Caenorhabditis elegans: one gene and its partners. The protein of the gene in region 1 purifies or fractionates together with the protein of each later gene. This does not show direct contact. Each region holds a gene or a part of one and is shown in the gene's direction. Other genes may lie near its edges. The genes, in order: C36A4.4, zig-12, exc-4 and ran-4.

Evidence for each region.
Region 2: the proteins of C36A4.4 (region 1) and zig-12 fractionate together in Caenorhabditis elegans (co-fractionation; one large-scale study listed by BioGRID). This does not show direct contact.
Region 3: the proteins of C36A4.4 (region 1) and exc-4 fractionate together in Caenorhabditis elegans (co-fractionation; one large-scale study listed by BioGRID). This does not show direct contact.
Region 4: the proteins of C36A4.4 (region 1) and ran-4 fractionate together in Caenorhabditis elegans (co-fractionation; one large-scale study listed by BioGRID). This does not show direct contact.

The regions. Positions count from the first base shown.
Region 1 is NC_003281.10:3,840,705-3,845,265, reverse strand, and holds C36A4.4 (putative UDP-N-acetylglucosamine pyrophosphorylase), read left to right. Parts: upstream 1-1,651; 5' UTR 1,652-1,655; coding exon 1,656-1,907; intron 1,908-1,961; coding exon 1,962-2,382; intron 2,383-2,885; coding exon 2,886-3,234; intron 3,235-3,284; coding exon 3,285-3,538; intron 3,539-3,595; coding exon 3,596-3,774; 3' UTR 3,775-4,020; downstream 4,021-4,561. Other genes in the region: maph-1.3 (Microtubule-associated protein futsch), read right to left, coding at 1-105, 152-373; C36A4.11 (uncharacterized protein), read right to left, coding at 4,116-4,123, 4,182-4,380.
Region 2 is NC_003284.9:8,762,376-8,766,818, forward strand, and holds zig-12 (Ig-like domain-containing protein), read left to right. Parts: upstream 1-1,531; 5' UTR 1,532-1,533; coding exon 1,534-1,599; intron 1,600-1,645; coding exon 1,646-1,780; intron 1,781-2,561; coding exon 2,562-2,652; intron 2,653-2,699; coding exon 2,700-2,812; intron 2,813-2,957; exon of another isoform or gene 2,958-3,103; intron 3,104-3,486; coding exon 3,487-3,675; 3' UTR 3,676-3,905; downstream 3,906-4,443.
Region 3 is NC_003279.8:14,512,708-14,520,568, reverse strand, and holds the start of exc-4 (Chloride intracellular channel exc-4), read left to right. Parts: upstream 1-1,849; 5' UTR 1,850-1,853; coding exon 1,854-2,234; intron 2,235-3,951; coding exon 3,952-4,086; intron 4,087-5,382; coding exon 5,383-5,610; intron 5,611-7,777; coding exon 7,778-7,861. UniProt on the Caenorhabditis elegans protein: May insert into membranes and form chloride ion channels. Involved in the formation of the excretory canal. Required to prevent cystic lumenal expansions in the excretory cell.
Region 4 is NC_003279.8:8,589,628-8,592,506, forward strand, and holds ran-4 (putative nuclear transport factor 2), read left to right. Parts: upstream 1-1,587; 5' UTR 1,588-1,589; coding exon 1,590-1,686; intron 1,687-1,727; coding exon 1,728-1,819; intron 1,820-1,862; coding exon 1,863-1,961; intron 1,962-2,006; coding exon 2,007-2,120; 3' UTR 2,121-2,351; downstream 2,352-2,879. Other genes in the region: tmem-208 (Transmembrane protein 208), read left to right, coding at 2,465-2,557, 2,608-2,725, 2,780-2,879. UniProt on the Caenorhabditis elegans protein: Facilitates protein transport into the nucleus. Could be part of a multicomponent system of cytosolic factors that assemble at the pore complex during nuclear import.

The DNA.
Region 1 (4,561 bases):
AAGCTTCGAGTTCGCTTCTTGAATTGCTTTGGCAATCTCTCCACTGCTTCCCGGCTTGGCAGTCTTGAACGGCTTCGTGTTGGTGAACACCGGCAACGGTTTTCCCTGAAAAAAGTAGATTATCAAAATTTTCATTAAAGTTTCTACAAACCTGTTCCAACAGAGCAGACGTGGTTCCGAGGTTACCAAGCGTCGGCGCGGCGAGCAGCACGGCAGAGACGTCCCTGACGTGAGCCACGAATCCTGGGCTTTTTTCGGCGAATCCCCCATCGAGAATGTAGACGCCGTCAAAATCAAACAAGGTGGCTGTGTTGGCCGCACCGCCCAAGACGTAGACGCATGCCTTCGACGACATGATGTATTCTTCCGGCATCTGGAAAGAAGGAGTAATTTTCAACAGTTTTAAGCACGTATACGTAGAAAATGAAAGAGAACGCTGAAAGATTGAATTATGGCGAATTTTATGCCAAAATAATTACAAAAACCCTAATTTCGGAGTTTTTCGCGCTTTTCTGTAGACTTAAGTTCATTTTTCAACCATATTAGCGACTAAAAATGTTCAAAAACTAATCAAAAATGTGAAATAAACGACAAAATTATAGGGAAAATGCAAAAGCTTCTTGGCTGCTGACAAAATTGCAGATTTTTTAGGATTTACAAAAAAAAGGTTTCAGTGGGCGGTGCCAATTCGCAACCACCGCACGCTCATTTCGCAAGCCTCGCACGTTTTTTCAGTGATCTTTTTAAATACCTTTTTTAAAGAAAAACGCGCGAGAATAAACAAATAAACAAATAAACAAAAACGAGACAGAAAAACACGAATGAGCTCTCTCGCCGCCTTATATAGCGCGGTGAGAGACGCAGAGAATGCAGGGAAATCAGAATACGACCGCTGCCGCCGTGGATCAAGATCACTAGTGATATCAGTCTCCTCTTTGTTTGATCTACCAGTAGAAGTGCAGAGCGCCTGCGATGGGTGGATTTTTTTCATTTTCAACTTTTTCAATGTCGCTGAATCAATACGTCATTTCTATTGGAAGCTAGTCTTTTTGGTTATTTTTTAGATTAAGTTTGAGTCTTGCGGTGCTCGAAAAACTCAAAATCTTTTTAAATCCACTGGTATATATATATTGGGAGAATTGAACTCTGTGCATTTTTCCGTCACTGTGTTCGCGTACTTTTAAGTTTTTATGGCGGCAGCGGCGCCATGTTCAGATGTTTTTTTATATGTTTTGTGATCTTTTCATCATTTTCTTGAAGAATTTGCAGATTTTTTTTCATTTTCAGTGAATTTTTCTTAATAAAAACTTTTTTTTTCCATTTAGATTGGATTTCTCCGCATTTTCTTCGGCGAAACAAGAGATTCTCTGTTTTTATTGCATTCTAAAAACGTTAAGCCAACAATCAATATTTTGTCGTGTTTCTTGTTTTCCATCTCCTTGTTTTTAGAGTTTTAAAGTAGGAAACGTGTTAAATAAGTGCAGTTTTTTGTGTCTATCTATTTTCCAAATGAACATTTCTGTAATTAGAGAGAAGCTGCCACACACAGCGTTATGAATAATTATTTTCTTATCTTTGCGCCGTGTATTATCACTTTTTGAATTGTTTTCCACCGGAGAATCGTTTATTTAATTTTGATCATTATTTTCAGTACGATGACCATCACTGCTCCACCAAAAGACGAGATTATCTCAAAGTTTCCGGGCTCTGAGCCACTTCTCAACTTTTACAATGAGCTCTCGGATGCCGAAAAATCGAAGCTTTTCCACCAAATTTCAACTCTAAACCTTTCGGAAGCTCATCAATGGTTCATTGATTCAGCGGATCAACGGGCTCCATCAACTGCGGAAGACCTTAAGCCGGTTCTTGATTCTCAGCATTTTGTACAAGCTGAATTGCATCAAGTGGTAGAGACTTTTAATATTTAGGTAAAACCATCATTAAAATTACATTATTTTCAGATCCTCGATGGTCTCTGGAACAAGGGAATGGATGCTATTGGACGTGGAGAAGTATGTGCAATTGTGCTCGCCGGTGGACAAGCTACACGTCTTGGATCAAGTCAACCGAAAGGAACGATTCCATTGGGAATTAACGCTTCATTTGGAGATTCTCTTTTGGGAATTCAAGCTGCCAAAATTGCACTTCTTCAGGCTCTCGCTGGAGAACGGGAGCATCAGAATCCGGGAAAAATTCACTGGGCAGTTATGACGTCACCTGGAACAGAGGAGGCTACTCGTGAGCATGTGAAGAAACTGGCGGCTCATCATGGATTCGATTTCGATGAACAAATTACTATTTTCTCACAAGATGAAATTGCTGCATACGATGAGCAGGGAAACTTCCTTCTCGGAACTAAAGGATCTGTTGTTGCTGCTCCAAGTATGAGTTTTTACGCAATTCGTGTACTCCTCGAGGAAAACTGTTTTTACGAATTTTTCAGCTATAATTCTGACTTTTTGATTATTTTTTAATCTTCAAAACGAAAAATTATATGACATTTAAAGTATTTTCGGTGTCAATATTGAAAGCAGTATTAATTGCATGGATTTTCACCCAAAACACACTAAAAATATAAATTAGTTGACGATTTGAATTTAAAAAATATCTAAAATTAAGTATTTTATCCGAATACTTAAAAATTTCGTACAAAAAAATAATTATTCTTTCTCGGGGAGTACACCAGCTGCGTAAATCGACACAAAAATTTTAAAAAATGAGTTTTTCAACGAAAAAAAAATCGAATTTTCAATATTTTAAAGATAATGTGTTCTCATCAAACTCAACTTTTTTTAGAACATAAAATCTAGACTTTTTTCTGGATTTCAAAAAAAGAAAATTATCGATTTTCTCACAAAAAACCGAAAAATCATATTTTTTTTCAGACGGCAACGGAGGTCTCTACTCTGCCATCTCTGCTCATTTGCCACGTCTTCGCGCGAAAGGAATCAAATATTTCCATGTGTATTGTGTGGACAACATTCTGTGCAAAGTTGCCGACCCTCATTTCATCGGATTCGCCATTTCAAACGAAGCTGACGTTGCAACCAAGTGTGTTCCGAAGCAAAAAGGAGAACTCGTCGGATCAGTTTGTCTTGATAGAGGACTACCACGTGTCGTTGAATATTCGGAGCTTGGAGCCGAGTTGGCTGAACAAAAGACACCGGATGGAAAATATTTGTTTGGTGCAGGATCTATTGCAAATCACTTTTTCACGATGGATTTCATGGATAGGTTTGTAATTTCAAATTTGGAGAAAAAGCTTAATTTTAAAATAAATACAGAGTCTGCTCTCCATCATCTCGTCTTCCATATCATCGTGCTCACAAGAAGATTTCCTATGTGAATGAGCAGGGAACCATTGTCAAACCGGAAAAACCAAATGGTATCAAGCTGGAGCAGTTTATTTTCGACGTCTTCGAGCTCTCGAAGCGATTTTTCATTTGGGAGGTGGCGAGGAACGAAGAGTTTTCTCCATTGAAAAATGCTCAATCTGTTGGAACTGATTGTTTGAGCACTTGTCAGAGAGATTTGTCCAGTGAGTAGATTTTTCTGTGAATTCAGAATTAAAATTGATTTAAAAACTGATTTTCAGATGTGAACAAGTTGTGGCTGGAACGTGTTCAAGCGAAAGTGACTGCAACTGAAAAGCCGATCTACTTGAAGACAATTGTCTCCTACAACGGAGAGAATCTTCAAGAACTCCGTCATCGTGAAATTTCTGATAGTGCCTTGGAATCCGATCATTCGATTAACAAATTCTTTGTTGTCTAGTCTTCTTTTGTTTCATATTTATACTGATTGCCCTACTCATTCCCCTATCATTTCCCAGCCAACTGTGTTTTATTTATGTTAAAATCCCCGTGATGCTTTCAAATTTCCTTCGGTATTTTCCCCAAAAACCGTAGTTATTAGGCCGATATTATTGCTTGACATCCATTTGTTTTAAATTTCTTAAATTTTCGTAAACTGAAACGAGTTCGAATACAGATTTTGTAAATACTAAAAATGTTAGAATGAGTTGGTACAATTTTATAAATTTAAAAATGACAATTTATTAAAAAAAAAAGTTATCCTTGGAAATGTGCCTTCTGTTGGGAGGATGTATTTAGTCATTAATTTCCTGAAAAGAGCAATAATTTAAACAAGCAAATAACAAAAATTAAAAAAAAAAAACTTACCTAATAGGCCTGCCACGCGGGACTTGTTAGCACCGGATCCAATTCGAAGGCAATCTTCCTCTTCTTGTGCATCTGAGCCACCGTGGCTGTCGAAGATGTCGCAGTAGAAGCTGCTATCCGAACATTCTCCAGACTCTGTAGATCCACCGAAACCACTTTGGATGATGGCTTCTCTGTCGTTCTTCGCCTTTGTTCCCATTTAAGCTCACGCTCTAATATCTCGAATTTCTCCTTCAAAGTCCACTCGGGAGCATCAAAGGGACTTAGCACCGGTTTCCAAAAGTTTCCTGATTCGAATAGAAGAAGAATATTCAAAAACTATTCAGTAGTAATTAAATATAAATAATTAATAAAATCAAAGTGAGAGAGCCTGTACACAA
Region 2 (4,443 bases), on another chromosome or scaffold:
AAAACAGTTTGGTTCATATAAGTTTATTATAAAATAATTTGTTTTTAACTGAAAAATTGTCAGCTTATGTTTTTACCATTTTTGGGATTCATCTCATTTTGAGACCTAGAAAGGCAATATATTTTAATTTTTAACGCGACTGGGGCATTTAAGTGTCCTATATCGTTTTCCACATTGCTCTATTCGGCCAAGTCTGGTAGCTTATTCTCTGGTTTCTTTCTAAATAGGAAATTATGCAGCTTATTGTAAGATGAGGCCAATCAACTAAATTGTTCTTTGACCCAATGCTAAACCTACATAGTTGAATTGCAATGTGGTCATAAAGAACCGCGAAGAATTGACATTATGAACGTACAATGCAGATATCATCAATGAAACCATGCACAATGCGCACGCCGCGATTTGCAAAAATGTGCACATCATGATCGTCCTATTGTGACAGGTCTATAAATCCATTGCTTTCGAGTTGCTCAGTTTCAAAGTGGCATTTTCATTTAACAACTTTTGAAATCCTTAATACTCATACAACAACCAGCGACGTCATTTCCATCCGTTCCCAAATTGCTCATTGATTCCGATTTCAAAATACTCTCAAATATCCTTTGTGAAGCGTGTCTCGTCAACTTTGCCTTCGCCCTGCAGCTCTTCATTGAGAACTTTGTAAAAATTTTGGGATCTTCAACGTCGACGAGAAATGAAGAGTTAGGTGGGAAGTGCCATCCCATCCACCTTTCTCCTCCTCCGCAAAATCTGTGGGCAGCTCCGGGGGGCTCCCGGGACATTCATCTTTCCCATCTTTTTTCGTCGTTTCGTTCTCCGACTAGCGACCAGGAGGCGGAGAAAGAGCTTAGCAGCAGAAGAAGTAGAAATTACAACACCTTCGTGAAACAGAGAAAAAGATAAAGGGAAAATGGGACTCTAACAGCGACCTCTTGGCACTTTTGTCAGTTGGAAACTACAAGCGAGACATCATTTTTCTCCTCTTCATATTTTTTGTTCTCCTCTCAAATTTGTTTTTTTTAAATTTATTCTTGAGTGCTGATCTCAATGCACAAAAAACATGACTAAAATCAACTGTTATATGTACAAAAAACCAGTGATTCAATTTTCGAAGCATTTTTCAACCTTCAACCATTGGTCTTTTTGCCTTTTTCTTTTTTTTCTCAGCATTATAAAGTGTTTTCCCTCAAAATACTGTTGACACATCTTGTCTAGATCTTCTCCAACATTCCCCTACTTGTGCTTGTTCATTGAGAACATAAAACATTGTTTGCTTAGTTCTCCCACCCAAAAGCCACTACGAACTACCGTTCAAGAAGTCTTTCGTCTCCTATTTTCCTGTGAACTCAATGGATAAATGATGGTAAAAACACATTGGCAGATCATTTTTCATTCGCTCTTGGCGGCGCTCTTACCTGATCAGAAAACACGCCCCTCTTTTCTTTTAGTGTGTAAAACTTTAGGTTACCGAGATTCCGTATATTCATGGCTTCGTATTCAATCATAAAACTACAGATTTTAATTTTTTCAGATATGGCACCACCATCAATTTACGGAGAACCAAAAATTAGATCAGAGAACGGGTCGGTGTTCCTTGAGGTACGAATTTGCTTTTCCTTTTGAAAATTGCTAAGTTTTCTTCCAGGTCATCGTCACTGGAGCTGATGTTTCTAAGATTCAGTGGTTTTTCGGACCAGACGAGCTTGAGGAGAACGAGTTCCTGAAGTTCTCAAACAGTGACGAAGGAGGCAACCGCACCAAGTTTGTTGCCGAAATCAAGGTCAGTTTGAGAGCAACTGTTTGCCAAAGCATCTCGTATAAATCACATAAAACGACTCACGAGTCATTTTATGGTCCCATTGCTGCGATGCGCTCTGCAACTGTTGTCTGTATGTGTTTTGATCTGCGTTTAATTGGTTTTTGATGGACTTACCGTAGATTTTGGGCAAAAGTGCGGCAAAAGCAGAATTAGCTGTCGGTCGGGAGGTGAAAAGCAAAACATAACAACGGTTAAGCATTTGATCAAAAGGAAACTCTAAGTACATTCATCATTACAAAATACTTTTTACTTTACTATATTCTTTATTTTTTTCGTATCTCACATTAAATATACATCAATAACGTGAACTGTAATTTTGAAAATTCAGTAAACATTAAAAAAAGCCGTGCAGTTTGAACTTCACATTAGGAACTATAATTGTAAAAGTTACTAATGATAGTAGTAGTTGAAAAACAAACCACATAAGCTACATTACTGGTAAAACGGAAAAGCAACTGAAAAACTGTCCAACGGTCCAAAATGCCGCAGACTGAAAAAAAAAACTGATGTCCGCCGGTGGTCTGTCTCCATGTCAGCCAATAAGCCGATTGTCGACCGCCCCGGTCGCAAATTTCGTTTTTCTAAGCTTAAAAAAAAACTCCGAACACAAAAACGATTTTATCAGCTGCCATTGGGCCGCTTCTGAGCAATCCCGCTTTACCTGTGATAAAAAATAATCGGAATTATGAATTTTAACTGTTAACAAAACACCTTTTTGCTTCTTTAAATCATCATTTTATAGGACTTTGATAAACCACTTGCCGGAGAATACAAAGCCGTCTTTGCCAACGCCGATGGAGAGAACAGCTCTAACTTCACAGTCGCAGCAGGAAGTGAGCTCATTATCAAAAACACTAAAAGCTTACACATACAATTTCAGACGCCCCAGACTTCCATGACAAGCCACATATTGTTCAAAGAGATAACGGAAATGTGATTGTGATTAAGGTCCGCGCAAAGTCCCACCTTGAGATGAAGGCCGAATGGTTCAAGGTATGTCTGTCACCTTACTTTGAATCTTAGGGGAAAAAATTTCCCTGAATTCTTATTCGGTATTTTTCTTGGCATTGCTAAATTCATTTTGGTTGAACCAGAATAGAGCTTCTCGAAGATGGATCGACTGACTGACGTGTCTTTTTTCTTTTGTCTTCTTTCTTCCACCGAAGAAAAAAATGTAGTTGTCCTAATTTCCACATTTATGTTAGTCGAAGTGAACCTCTCCGGCTTTCTCAAGGGGATTCAAAATAGAAAGGCAGAGATGGGTAATGTAAAGAAGTGTGGAAATAAGACAAAAGTTGGGAGGCCTCCTCGTCCGCGCCTTTGGGTTGTGCCGAGACAGATACTTGAGGCTCATGGAGCAGATAGAGCGAAGTTTTGAGTAGTGAACAAAAAAGAGAAATGGCGCAAAAAACTAAAAGCAAAAAGGTTCAATAAACATTAAAAGAATTCACTTGTTGTCTGGTTCAAAATGTAAAATGAAAAATGAAAAATGAACATTTCAATGGGCATGCTTGGAACCAAGTTTGAGTTTTTTTGGAATGCTTTGATAAATAAAATTAACAAACTTGTTTTGGAAAAAATTTTCTGAACGACCGTCTAGTATAAATCATTTTTAAATTAACAGAAAAAAAGTAAATTTCATATTTTTCACTAATTCATTCTTCCAGGATGAAAAACCAGTGAAATTCACTGACCGAGTTAAGGCTGTTGTAAAGAAGGACGATAAGGACAAAGACGGATTCCAATTCCTACTCGAAATCACCGGACCACAAAAAGACGATGAAGCAAAATACAAGTGCGTTGTCAAGAACTCCGAAGGACAAAACCAACAAGCGTTGAACTTGGTTTTCGATTAATTTTATAAATTTTCCCTTGGTTTTTAATTGTCATACAATTCAATTCATAAAGCCTCAAATCAATTTTCATGTTAATCGTTGCTTCTGATTTTCGATTTTGGTAGTTGCACTTTCCGCTTTTTTTTCTTCTGTAACTTTTAACGTTTTGTAGTATTTGTCTTCTCAAAGTAATTTGAACTTTGTGTCCCATGCACATGAATTGGTATCAGCCAAAATAAAAAAGTTTCTTGACACATTGAACATGAGAAGATATACTTGCAAGTACAGAAATCAATATATATATATACAGTGCTGGCCAAAAAGATATCCACTTTCAGTTTTTTGACGATTTCGATATTTTTTCCAATGGGCATAACTTCAAAACTAGGAAAGGTACCAAAAAATTTTCAACTGGTAAAATGTAGCTCGTGATCAGGCCTATGTATTTTTACATGTTGCAATTATTCATCCATCACATGGCAAGTAATAAAGCGGCGGGCATCTCGTGAGTCCGTTTTTGACGATGATTACTAAAACGACTGTAACTCAAGAAACATATTTTTAATGAAAGGTTTGAGAAAGTAACAAAATGTTTATTTAATTTTTCATTGTTTGAACATATCAACTTTGTCCTAAAACCTCCATTTAAAAAAATGTGTGCGCTGAAACTAGTGTCTCATTAGACACTGTTTAGAGGCTTTGTTCAAAAATCAGGTTTCTTGGATTGAAAATCTTTTTCCGACAATTTTTGTGAAGAACTGATGTTGTTATTATATTTGAACTACATAT
Region 3 (7,861 bases), on another chromosome or scaffold:
AAGTTGCGAGACCATGTACCTGCTGACTTTCTGGACGATTTCATAATTTTTTTTCGATTTTTTTGGCATTTTTTATCAGAAAAATGTGTACTTAAGCCGTAAATCGACATAATTTTTAAAAGAGCCATTTTGGCATGTTGTTTCATTAAAATCTAATCACGAAATATAGAAATCGCAGAATCTAACCGAAAAACTTAATTTTACTTTAAAAAATTTTGCGAAGCAATTTAAATCTTTTACACGTGGTGTCAGACTGTCTCATTGCGGTTTGATCTATGAAAAATGCGGGAATATTTTTCCAGAAAATTGTGACGTCAGCACGCACTTAACCATGCGAAATCAGATTAGATGTCTGCGTCTCTTCTCCCGCATTTTTCGAAGATCAAAGCAAAATGAGACTTTCTGTGACTCCACGTGATTCTAATATTCTTTACCAAAAATATTTGTCACGGAATATAGAAAATGAGGTTTTCTAATTCAATATAGCTTTAATTCCAATTGAAAGGCTTTAGGAGGACATCTTGTCTGAAAATCGGGAGATTTCCCGCAATTTGCAACTTTCAGCTAGTTTTTTGCACACTTTAGAACTAAAATACCTCGTACCTTGTATTTTAGTTCAAAGTGTTCAAATCTCGTCTAAAAGTTGCGAATTACTGAAAAACCCCCCATTCCATTGCAATTACAATTACAATTTTTGTTACTAAAACCTTAAACCTGAAATTAAAATATATTTTTAGTAAGAAATATTGAAAGTAAATTCCACAATGGCTCATTTTTTATTACGGGAACAAGAAATTCTGAGAATGCGTACATCGCAACATATTTGACGCGCAAAATATCTCGTAGCGAAAACTACAGTAATTCTTAAAATGACTACTGTAGCGCTTGTGTCGATTTACGGAAATCGTTTATTAATTGATAGCGTATTAAAAGCACACTTTAAAAATAACACAGTAAAAAAAGCTACAGAAAATTGAATATCATTGTCTCGAAAGTCAGTCCCGTAAATCCACACACACAGAGCTACAGTAGTCATTTGAAGGGTTACTGTAGGTTTCGCTACGAGATATTTTGCGCGTCAAATATGTTGCGATGTACGCATTCTCAGAATTTTCTGTTCTCGTAATAGAATTTCCCCTGGAAACTAAAGTTTTCAAGCTATCTCGAACTTGCTTTGTATAATATTTTCTAGTAACAAAACAAAAAATTTCTTCAATTTCATTGAGAAATTCCCAGAAACAAATTTCCAGAAACATGCTAAAATCTGATGCTGAAATCCAAAAAAAGGTGTGGAAAACTCCCAAAACTAGCTATTAAATCTAAATTTTGAACATTCATTGGAAAATTAACAAATATTCGTAAAAAACGGATGTTGTTACCTAAAATTTCCAGTATTTACACCAATTGTCGTAAATATTTTCTCACTAAATTTAAAAATTCTCCATTTATTCGATATATATATATATCATTTACTATATATAAAGCGCTTATTCTGTGTGTCCATAGTTTGTAGTCTATGTGGTCTTTGTAGTCTGTGAAGTTTTGGCTTCTGGAGGGATAGTGAGTTAGGGTTAGTGTAGGGATATAGTCGGGGTACTGTAGTGGTACAATAGTGGTACGGTAGGAATACTGTAGGGTTACGGTAGTTTCATAAAAAATTAATTTTCAGCCCCAGAAGTCGGGGGCCGCGCCGAAGGTGCGGTCCACGGCTGGTATATATATATATATATACCAGCCGTGGTATATATATATATATATATTTAAAATATACACTAATTTTCTTCTGTTTCTTCCGGATTTATTGTGTTATCTCACCAAATTTTCCTCTCCAACAACCACCGCTAATTCCAGATATGGCAGAAGCTTACCAGATCCAATCAAACGGAGATCCCCAATCAAAACCTCTTCTCGAGCTCTACGTAAAAGCGTCAGGAATTGATGCTCGCCGCATTGGAGCCGATCTTTTCTGTCAGGAATTCTGGATGGAGTTGTATGCTCTTTATGAGATTGGAGTTGCACGAGTCGAAGTGAAGACTGTCAACGTGAATTCTGAAGCATTTAAGAAGAACTTTCTCGGAGCACAACCACCGATTATGATTGAAGAGGAAAAAGAGCTGACATACACTGATAATCGAGAGATTGAAGGACGGATCTTTCATTTGGCAAAGGAATTCAATGTTCCACTCTTTGAAAAGGATCCATCCGCTGAGAAGAGAATAGAGAACTTGTACAGGGTGAGTGTATGGAAGAAGAAGAAGCCCGGAAACTGTCGATTTACGCGGATCGTGTACTCCTCGTGGAAAAGATTCTGTAGTTTTCAGGGTTGTGGGGCACTTTTTTTTCACTTTTTCGTCAAAAAAATGAATTTTTAGTCTAAAATTGATATAGAAATATAGAAAACGGGTTGTTCTATTTGAAAATAACATTTACTTTTGTTGAAAATCTTGAAAAAGACCTCAAATAGTGCCTGAAAGTTGCCGTTTGCCGGAAAAGTGCCGTTAAAAGTTTTTAGATTAAAAAAACTGGGTTCTTTCAAAATGAAAATCCCTTTAATCACATACACATGAAAATAACATTAATTTTTGTTCCGTTTGCCGGAAAAAGTGCCGATTAAAGGTGATTTTCATTTTGAAACAACCCAGTTTTTTTAATCTAAAAACTTTTAACGGCACTTTTCCGGCAAACGGCAACTTTCAGGCACTATTTGAGGTCTTTTTCAAGATTTTCAACAAAAGTAAATGTTATTTTCAAATAGAACAACCCGTTTTCTATATTTCTATATCAATTTTAGATTAAGAACGAATTTTATTTTCCACGAGGAGTACACGATCCGCGTAAATCGAACGCCTAATGTGTTGATTTACGCGGATCGTGTATTCCTCGTGGAAAAGATTATCCAGTTTTCAGGGCTGTGCGGCACTTTTTCGGCAAAAAAATAAATTTTTAATCTAAAATTGATATAGAAATGTAGAAAACGGGTTGTTCTATTTGAAAATAACATTTATCTTTGTTGAAAATCTTGAAAAGCCGAAAAAGTGCCGTTAAAAGGTTTTGATGACTTTTTCAAGATTTTCAACAAAAATATATGTTATTTTCAACTAGAACAACCCATTTTCTACATTTCTATAAAAATTTAAATCAAAAAATGGATTTTTTGCGAAAAAATGCCTTGTACTCCACGAGGAGAACATTTTGCAGTTTTTGCTGATTTATAGTGTTTTCAGTGAAACAAAAATACATCATTTCCCCGGGAAAATTGAAAATTTTTGTTAGAAAAAGCGAAAAATACAAGTTTTTAACGAAAACTCTGAAAATTTCCGCGAAAAATATTTAATTCATCAATTTTCAACAGGGTTTCCCCACGAAAATCGTCAATTTTCGTAAAATTCTCGATTTTCTTTTGAAAATACCGAATTTTTACCGAAAAATAATCACTTTTCCGCCAAAAACTGCATTTTTTCAGAAATTTCTGGTTTTCTCACTGAAATGCAACATTTTGTCATTAAGTTATCGATTTTCTGATTAAAAATACCAAATTTCATAGAAAATATGAAAACTGCAATAAATTGATTTAAAATATTGATTTTCAGCAAAATCCGTAAAATCTTCTCCTCGGGGAGTACACGAGGCTTCACACAGCTTGATATCTCAAAAATGTCCTTTTTTCGATGAAAAAATTTAGAAATTGGTCCAATTTTGTCTTAACAGTATGGAAAATTCTGTTTTTTCCTAAAAAAAAAAAAGAAACATTTCCCAATTTTTCCGGAAAAACTTCAAAAAAAATCCAATTTTCCCGGAAAAACTTCAAAAAAAATTAATTTTTCCGGAAAAACTTCAAATAATTCCAATTTTTCTGGTAAAACTTCGAAAAAATCCATTTTTCACGACGCGCGTAAATCGACAAAGTTAAATTTGACGTTTTCCCCCGTCTAATTTCCTCTCATTTTTCAGAACTTCAAACTGTTCCTGCGAGCAAAAGTAGAGTTCGATAAGGGAAAAAAGGAGCCATCGAGAGTTGAAGATCTTCCAGCACAGATTAAAGTTCACTACAATCGAGTCTGTGAGCAACTATCCAATATTGATCAGGTAAAATACACACAGAAATCTGCGAAATTGCCCATTTGCCGAAAATTTTAATTTTCGGCAAATTTTCCGGCAAATCGGCACTTTGCCGGAATTGAAAATGTCCGGCAAGTTTCCGATTGCCGGGAAATGTTAAGTTTCTGCAAATTGCCATTTTGCCGGGAAATTTTAAGTTTAGGAAAGCTACCTATTTGCCGAGAATGAAAATTTCCGGCAAATCGGCAAAACGGAAATTTTGAATTCCGGCAAATTGTCATTTTGCCGTAAATTTCAATTTTCGGTGAGGTACCTATTTTCTGGAAATTTTAATTTTCGGCAAATAGGTACTTTGCCGAAAATAAAAAATTACGGTAAATCGGCAAAACAAAAAATTTCAATTCCGGCAAAGTGCCAATTTGCCGGAAATTTTCAATTCTGGTAAATTGCCGAAAATGATCAATTCCGGCAAATTACTGATTTACCGGAAATTTCAATTCTGGCAAATTGCCGAAAATTTAGTATTCCGGCAAAGTGCCAATTTGCCGGAAATTTTCAATTCCGGCAAACTGCCGATTTGCCGTAAATTTTAATTTTGGGTAAGTACCTATTTTCTGGAAATTTTAATTTACGGGAAAATGGCAATTTTCCGGCAAATCGACACTTTGACGATACAGAAAATTTCCAACAAATCGGCAAAACGGAAAATCTCAATTCTGGCAAACTGCCGAAAATTTATTATTCCGGCAAATTGCCAACCTATCGGAAATTTTAAAATCCGGCAAACTGCCGATTTGCTTGCCGGATATCAATTTGCCGGAATTTTATAAAAAGATTTTTGATAATACTGAAACACTTCATAGGATGCGTTTTCCGTTTGAAATTGAAATTCATAAAAAGTTTCAGAAAAATATATGCGCAATTGCCGGTTTGCCAAAGTTGCCGGAAATTTCTAGCAAACCGGTAATTGCACATTTTCCCCAATTTTCCGGCAAAATCCCGATTTGCTGGAAATTTCTATTCTGGCATTTTGCCAAAAATTTAGTATTCCGGCAAATTGCCGATTTGCCGGAAATTTCAATTCCGACAAATTTTCCATTTTGCCGTAAATTTTAATTTTAGGCAATGCAAATTTCCGATGATTCGCCGGTAAAGTACCTATTTTCTGAGAATTTCAATTCTGGAAGTTTGCCAAATTTGCCGGAAATTTGGCAAACCGGCACTTTGCCCAATTTCCCAATTTCCCCAATTTTTTGTGATAAATATTGTTTATCGCATCTTGTCAACATAATTCCATCAAAAATTGCCCCCATTTTATTGCAGTTGCTATCCGAGAGAAAATCTCGATATCTACTTGGAAACAGTATGACTGAATATGACTGTGAACTGATGCCACGTCTTCATCATATTCGAATTATTGGATTGTCACTTCTTGGATTCGATATTCCACATAATTTCACTCATCTCTGGGCTTATATCCTCACTGCATACCGTACAGCAGCATTTATTGAGAGTTGTCCCGCCGATCAGGACATTATTCATCACTATAAAGTGAGGATGAAGCTGCAAACTACAGATTTGTTAGCCGGAATCAGGGGTGCCGAGGAACAATGTTTTTTGTTGAAAAAACCAACCAAAAAAAAATTCGAATTAGCCATGAAACATACAATTTTTATTCTAATTTTGTCTATATTTTAATAAGAAAAAACATACGAATTATTATTCTGAAAAAGAAAAAATGGCCAAAAGGTTTTAGTTCAGAAGATTTCGGAAAAATTCAATTTATTTAAATAATATATCTCCAGTTTGATTTATATGAAAAATGACAAAAATTGTGGCTTTGGGGAATAATTTCGACTTTTTCATTGAAAATCTTTTTTAAAAAAACGAGAAAACTATTGATTTCTCAAAAAATATGCTAATTTTTATGTGAAAGTGTAGAAAAAGTCTTTAGAAATAGCAAAAAGACCAGAAAAGGATGTTTTTTTTTTTTTGCTTGCAACAATTCAAAATTTTCGATTTTCTCTTGAAAAAAATCCAAATTTCGGCCGATCAGGACATTATTCATGACTATAAAGTGAGGATGAAGCTACAAACTACGAAGACTCGACACTACAAACTACAGATTTGTTAGCCAGAATCAGGGGTGCCGAGGAACAATTTTTTTTTGTTTAAAAAAACCAACAAAACATGCAGAATTCAATATTTTTATTACAGCTCACGCCTTATTTCATAGAAACAACAGAAATTGCACTTTTTGAGCAAATTTGACCCCAGTGTTGGGTTTTTTGAGAGAAAACCGAGACAGGCGCGACTAAAAATGCACCATTTTTGAGGTTTTAAACGCCAAATTTATATGAAAAATGACAAAAATTGTGTAAACTAGTACTTTTTCACGCTTTGGAGAAATAGTGCACTTGAATTTTCGATTTTTTCATTGAAAATCTAAAAAAAAATCGAAAAAAAAATTTTTCCCGATTTTTCCCGGAAATTCTTCCATTTTTCGAACAAAATTTGGAACATTTCTGATTATTTCAATATTTTTAGCGAAAATCTGGAAATTGTTAGTGTTTCCACTTTCGATTTTGACCAAAAAAAAAACCAAATTTCGGCTTAAAAATTGCTAGGATCGTCAATTTTGCTTATTTATTTAGCCTGAAACGAGTTTAAAAAAATAGCACGATTTAAGGAATTTTCGAGGAAAATAGTACTTCTCACGATCTCCTCAAAGCCGATTAATTATTAGAGCGCGCTTGCAGCGCCTCGCGTTTCTGCATCCGGGGTATTTTGCCTTTCCACTGAAAAAAGCAGCTTTTTTTTCAGATTTATCGAATTTTTAGCTTTTAAAAATTTTTTCCTGCATTTTTCGAACAAACCGTTTTGTTTAACAGTGAAAATCGAATTTAGAATGACTAAAATGAACTTTTTTCGTCCACTGGTTGTGAAATGGTTTGAATTTGAAGAAATCAGCGGGATTTTTCTTATTTTCTAAATATTTTTCTATTAAAAATTGGATTCAACATTTGTGACTTAACGTTAGGGTCAAAAAATGGTTTGCAACCGATTTTTAATAGGAAAATATTCAGAAAATACGAAAAATCCCGCTGATTTCTTCAAATTCAAACCATTTCTCAACCCGTGGACGAGAAAAGTTCCTTTTAGTCATTTTAAATTCGATTTTTACTGTTTAACAAAACGGTTTGTTCGAAAAATGCAGGAAAAAATTTTTAAAAGCTAAAAATTCGATAAATCTGAAAAAAAAACTGATTTTTTCAGTGGAAAGACAAAATACCCCGGATGCAGAAACGCGAGGCGCTGCAAGCGCGCTCTAATAATTAATCGGCTTTGAGGAGATCGTGAGAAGTACTATTTTCCTCGAAAATTCCTTAAATTGTGCTATTTTTTTTAACTCGTTTCAGGCTAAATAAATAAGCAAAATTGACGATTCTAGCAATTTTTAAGCCGAAATTTGGTATTTTTTAAAGAGAAAATCGAAAAATTTTAATTTTCCTGGTCTGCAAGCGCGCTCTAATAATTATTCGGCTTTGAGGAGAGCGCTTGCTTCTATGATAATTAATTTTTTTGAAAAATGTTTGGTGTAAATTTTTCAATTTTACAGCGAAATCAACAAAAGTTTGGTGCGGCTAACAAAACTCTAGTTTGTAGTCGTTTCCCAATTTATGTGATTTTTAAACCCCAAAATTCTCTGAATTTGCAGGAACAAATGAATCTGTTCACAAATCAACGTGAAACCCTCCAATCGCCAACAAAAACGCACACAATTCCGGAAAAAGTGCTATCG
Region 4 (2,879 bases), on another chromosome or scaffold:
ACAAGTTTTATATTTGAACTACGTTCCAATAATTTGTATTTGAACGTTGTATGAACCTGCAAGATGCTCGGAATTACTAAAAATAAAATCTTTAGAAAATCTGGCAGTTTTCCAAAATGTGACTGAGATTTTTGAAAAAAGCTCACATATTCTTCTAAGGCGATTTCACAACTTTTACAGGCTAAAATGTTTTATCTTGGATGGGATTTTCCTTTTGAGAAAGATGTAATTAATACTGTCAAAAATCAAGACCAAAAACTTTAAAAAAATTTTGATTCTCGAACTATTACACAAGCTGGGTAAATCGACACATAGTTAGAGGTTCACATAAATTTTCTTCCATTTTTAGAAAAAAATTTGGGAGTTTTAAAGCTTGCTCAAATTCAGTCAGCAAAATGGTATACAATTTAGTTTTAAAATGTTTGGCTTACTTATTTTCCTTTCAATTACAAAAATCTACATTTGAAAACTAACTGAGTATATGTATCGCTCATAGAATTTTGATAATCATGTGAGAAGCAGTATGTAATGAGTTCGGAATTGCTTGCATTAATTTTGTCAATGAACTGTTACCAAGGTAACCATAAATGTGACTGGATGAGTTTGATGTAATGAGCTCTCGAAAATTGATATCATTTCAGTTCTGGATGATGTGAAAATATAATAGTAACGGTTCTTTATTTTCAGAAAACGTTGGCTTCAAAAGACTGGTCAGGTGCCGAAAAGGGAAGAGTGAAAGAACATACATATATGGTGTTCGCTAAGGCATGAGGATGCGCAGAGATGGAAAATTATTTCAAGTTTCTATAAATTACAGAAAATTGATTTTTGAAATGCCAACATTACGGAGTAAGAATAAAGTTTAACTTCTTATTCAATTGGTAGAATGGAAAGAAATAAAAAATGGAGCAACAACAAAAGAGGAACATAATTTCAGTGGTTTTGTCGTTATTTTGTTGCTTTTCCAGCTCTGTTTTCCATTTTGGCGAGCTCAAAGAGACATAAAAACAGAGCCAACCAACTCTTTTTTCTCTGCGCCTCTTCAACAAAAAGAGTGACGACAAGGCGATTTCTCTGCTCATAACGTGTTCTCTCTCGTTTACACACTCTCTCGCTTTCTGTGCAGTAATCGCGCTCCGCTGGATTATGCTACAAAATGTGCGCGCGATGCTGGCACCTTGCCATTTTATTCTGATTTTCCAATTTATTTAGGCATTTTTATTTTTTTTAATCGGTTTTCTCTTGTGAGGAATCAAATAATTCATAATTATTTTTAATTAAACTTCCCAAGAACGAACAAAACGCAGGAAGACAATACTGTTCTTTCGAAAACTGAAACATGAGGCCGAGGGTTTAAACTTTAAAAACTAAAAAAAAACAATTTGGTTGCTGTTTATTTTTCTCAATGCGAGCAAGACCACTGCTCATCTAACAACTAATTTTCAAAATTTATTGAGACAACCCATCTCGAGTAAATATATAATTCAATTGTTTCGAAAATTATCGTATTCTTCGTTGCTTTTTCCTACCTATCTTATTTATTTTTACTCTTTTTCAATTATTTTTCCCAATTTGTCGTTTTTAAAGGAATGAGCTTCAATCCTGATTACGAAAGTGTTGCAAAGGCCTTCATTCAACATTACTACTCAAAGTTCGATGTTGGCGATGGAATGAGTCGTGCTCAAGGTATTTCGTCTGAAAAAAACAATAAACTTAGTGAATTTCAGGACTCTCCGATTTGTACGACCCAGAAAACTCTTACATGACTTTTGAAGGACAGCAAGCGAAAGGCCGTGACGGAATTCTCCAAAAGTTCACGGTTTGTGCAAAAGTACGAGAGTTCAATAACGAAACACTTTTAGACTCTCGGATTCACAAAAATTCAACGAGCGATCACTGTGATTGACTCTCAGCCTCTGTATGATGGATCAATTCAAGTGATGGTTCTTGGTCAGCTCAAGGTAAGTAGAAGTAGTTTTCAAAAAAACCGAAAAAAAATTATTCAGACCGACGAAGATCCAATCAATCCCTTCTCGCAAGTCTTTATTCTCCGTCCAAACAATCAGGGTTCCTACTTCATCGGAAACGAGATCTTCCGACTTGACTTGCACAACAATTAGATATCAATTCGTCCACTTTCCTATCAAAATGTGTCCCCGTATTGAACAATTTTTCAAGAACTGAATTTTCACCAAATTGCTTAAATATCTATTTCAACCCGGCTTTTTCCATGTTTCTAAATCGGTTTCTTTCCCCACACAGTTTCGTGTCGTTTTACTATTTCGCACAATTTCAAACTTCTAGTTTGCAAATCGGTTCAAACTAAAGAATGAAGTTTTTATCATTTTCTTTCCGAGATATCGAGAAAATTTTGTTTAATTCGTTATTATTAGTGGTTTTTCAACCTTTACAATACCTTTGACTTTTTCAGCAATGACCTCAAAAATATAAAAATTAAATACAGATGGTGAAACAAGCAACAAAAGGGCAGAAAGAGATCTATGAGGAGAATCAGAAGACTGTCACCACTTATAGTGTGGCTAGCACGATTAGCATGGTAAACATTTGTAATTTCACATTTCAACGATTTTTTAAAAATTGTTTTAGGCAATCTACTATTCATCGTGTATGTTTCTGAGCCAGTGCTCTTCCACCGATTATGTATTTTTTGCTGTCTCAGCGCTCGTGCAGATCTTTGCTATTCTTTTCATGAAATCTTTAGCTAGTAAGTTTGTCTTACCCATTAATTTTTTGTATTAATCTGAAATTATGATTTTAGAAGCAAAGCTTGACGATAAAGGACATGTTTTGGATGCTGGTGCCGATTTGAACGATCCAGAAGCATTCGGAGAATACTGTAAAGACGCCATTATTCTGAC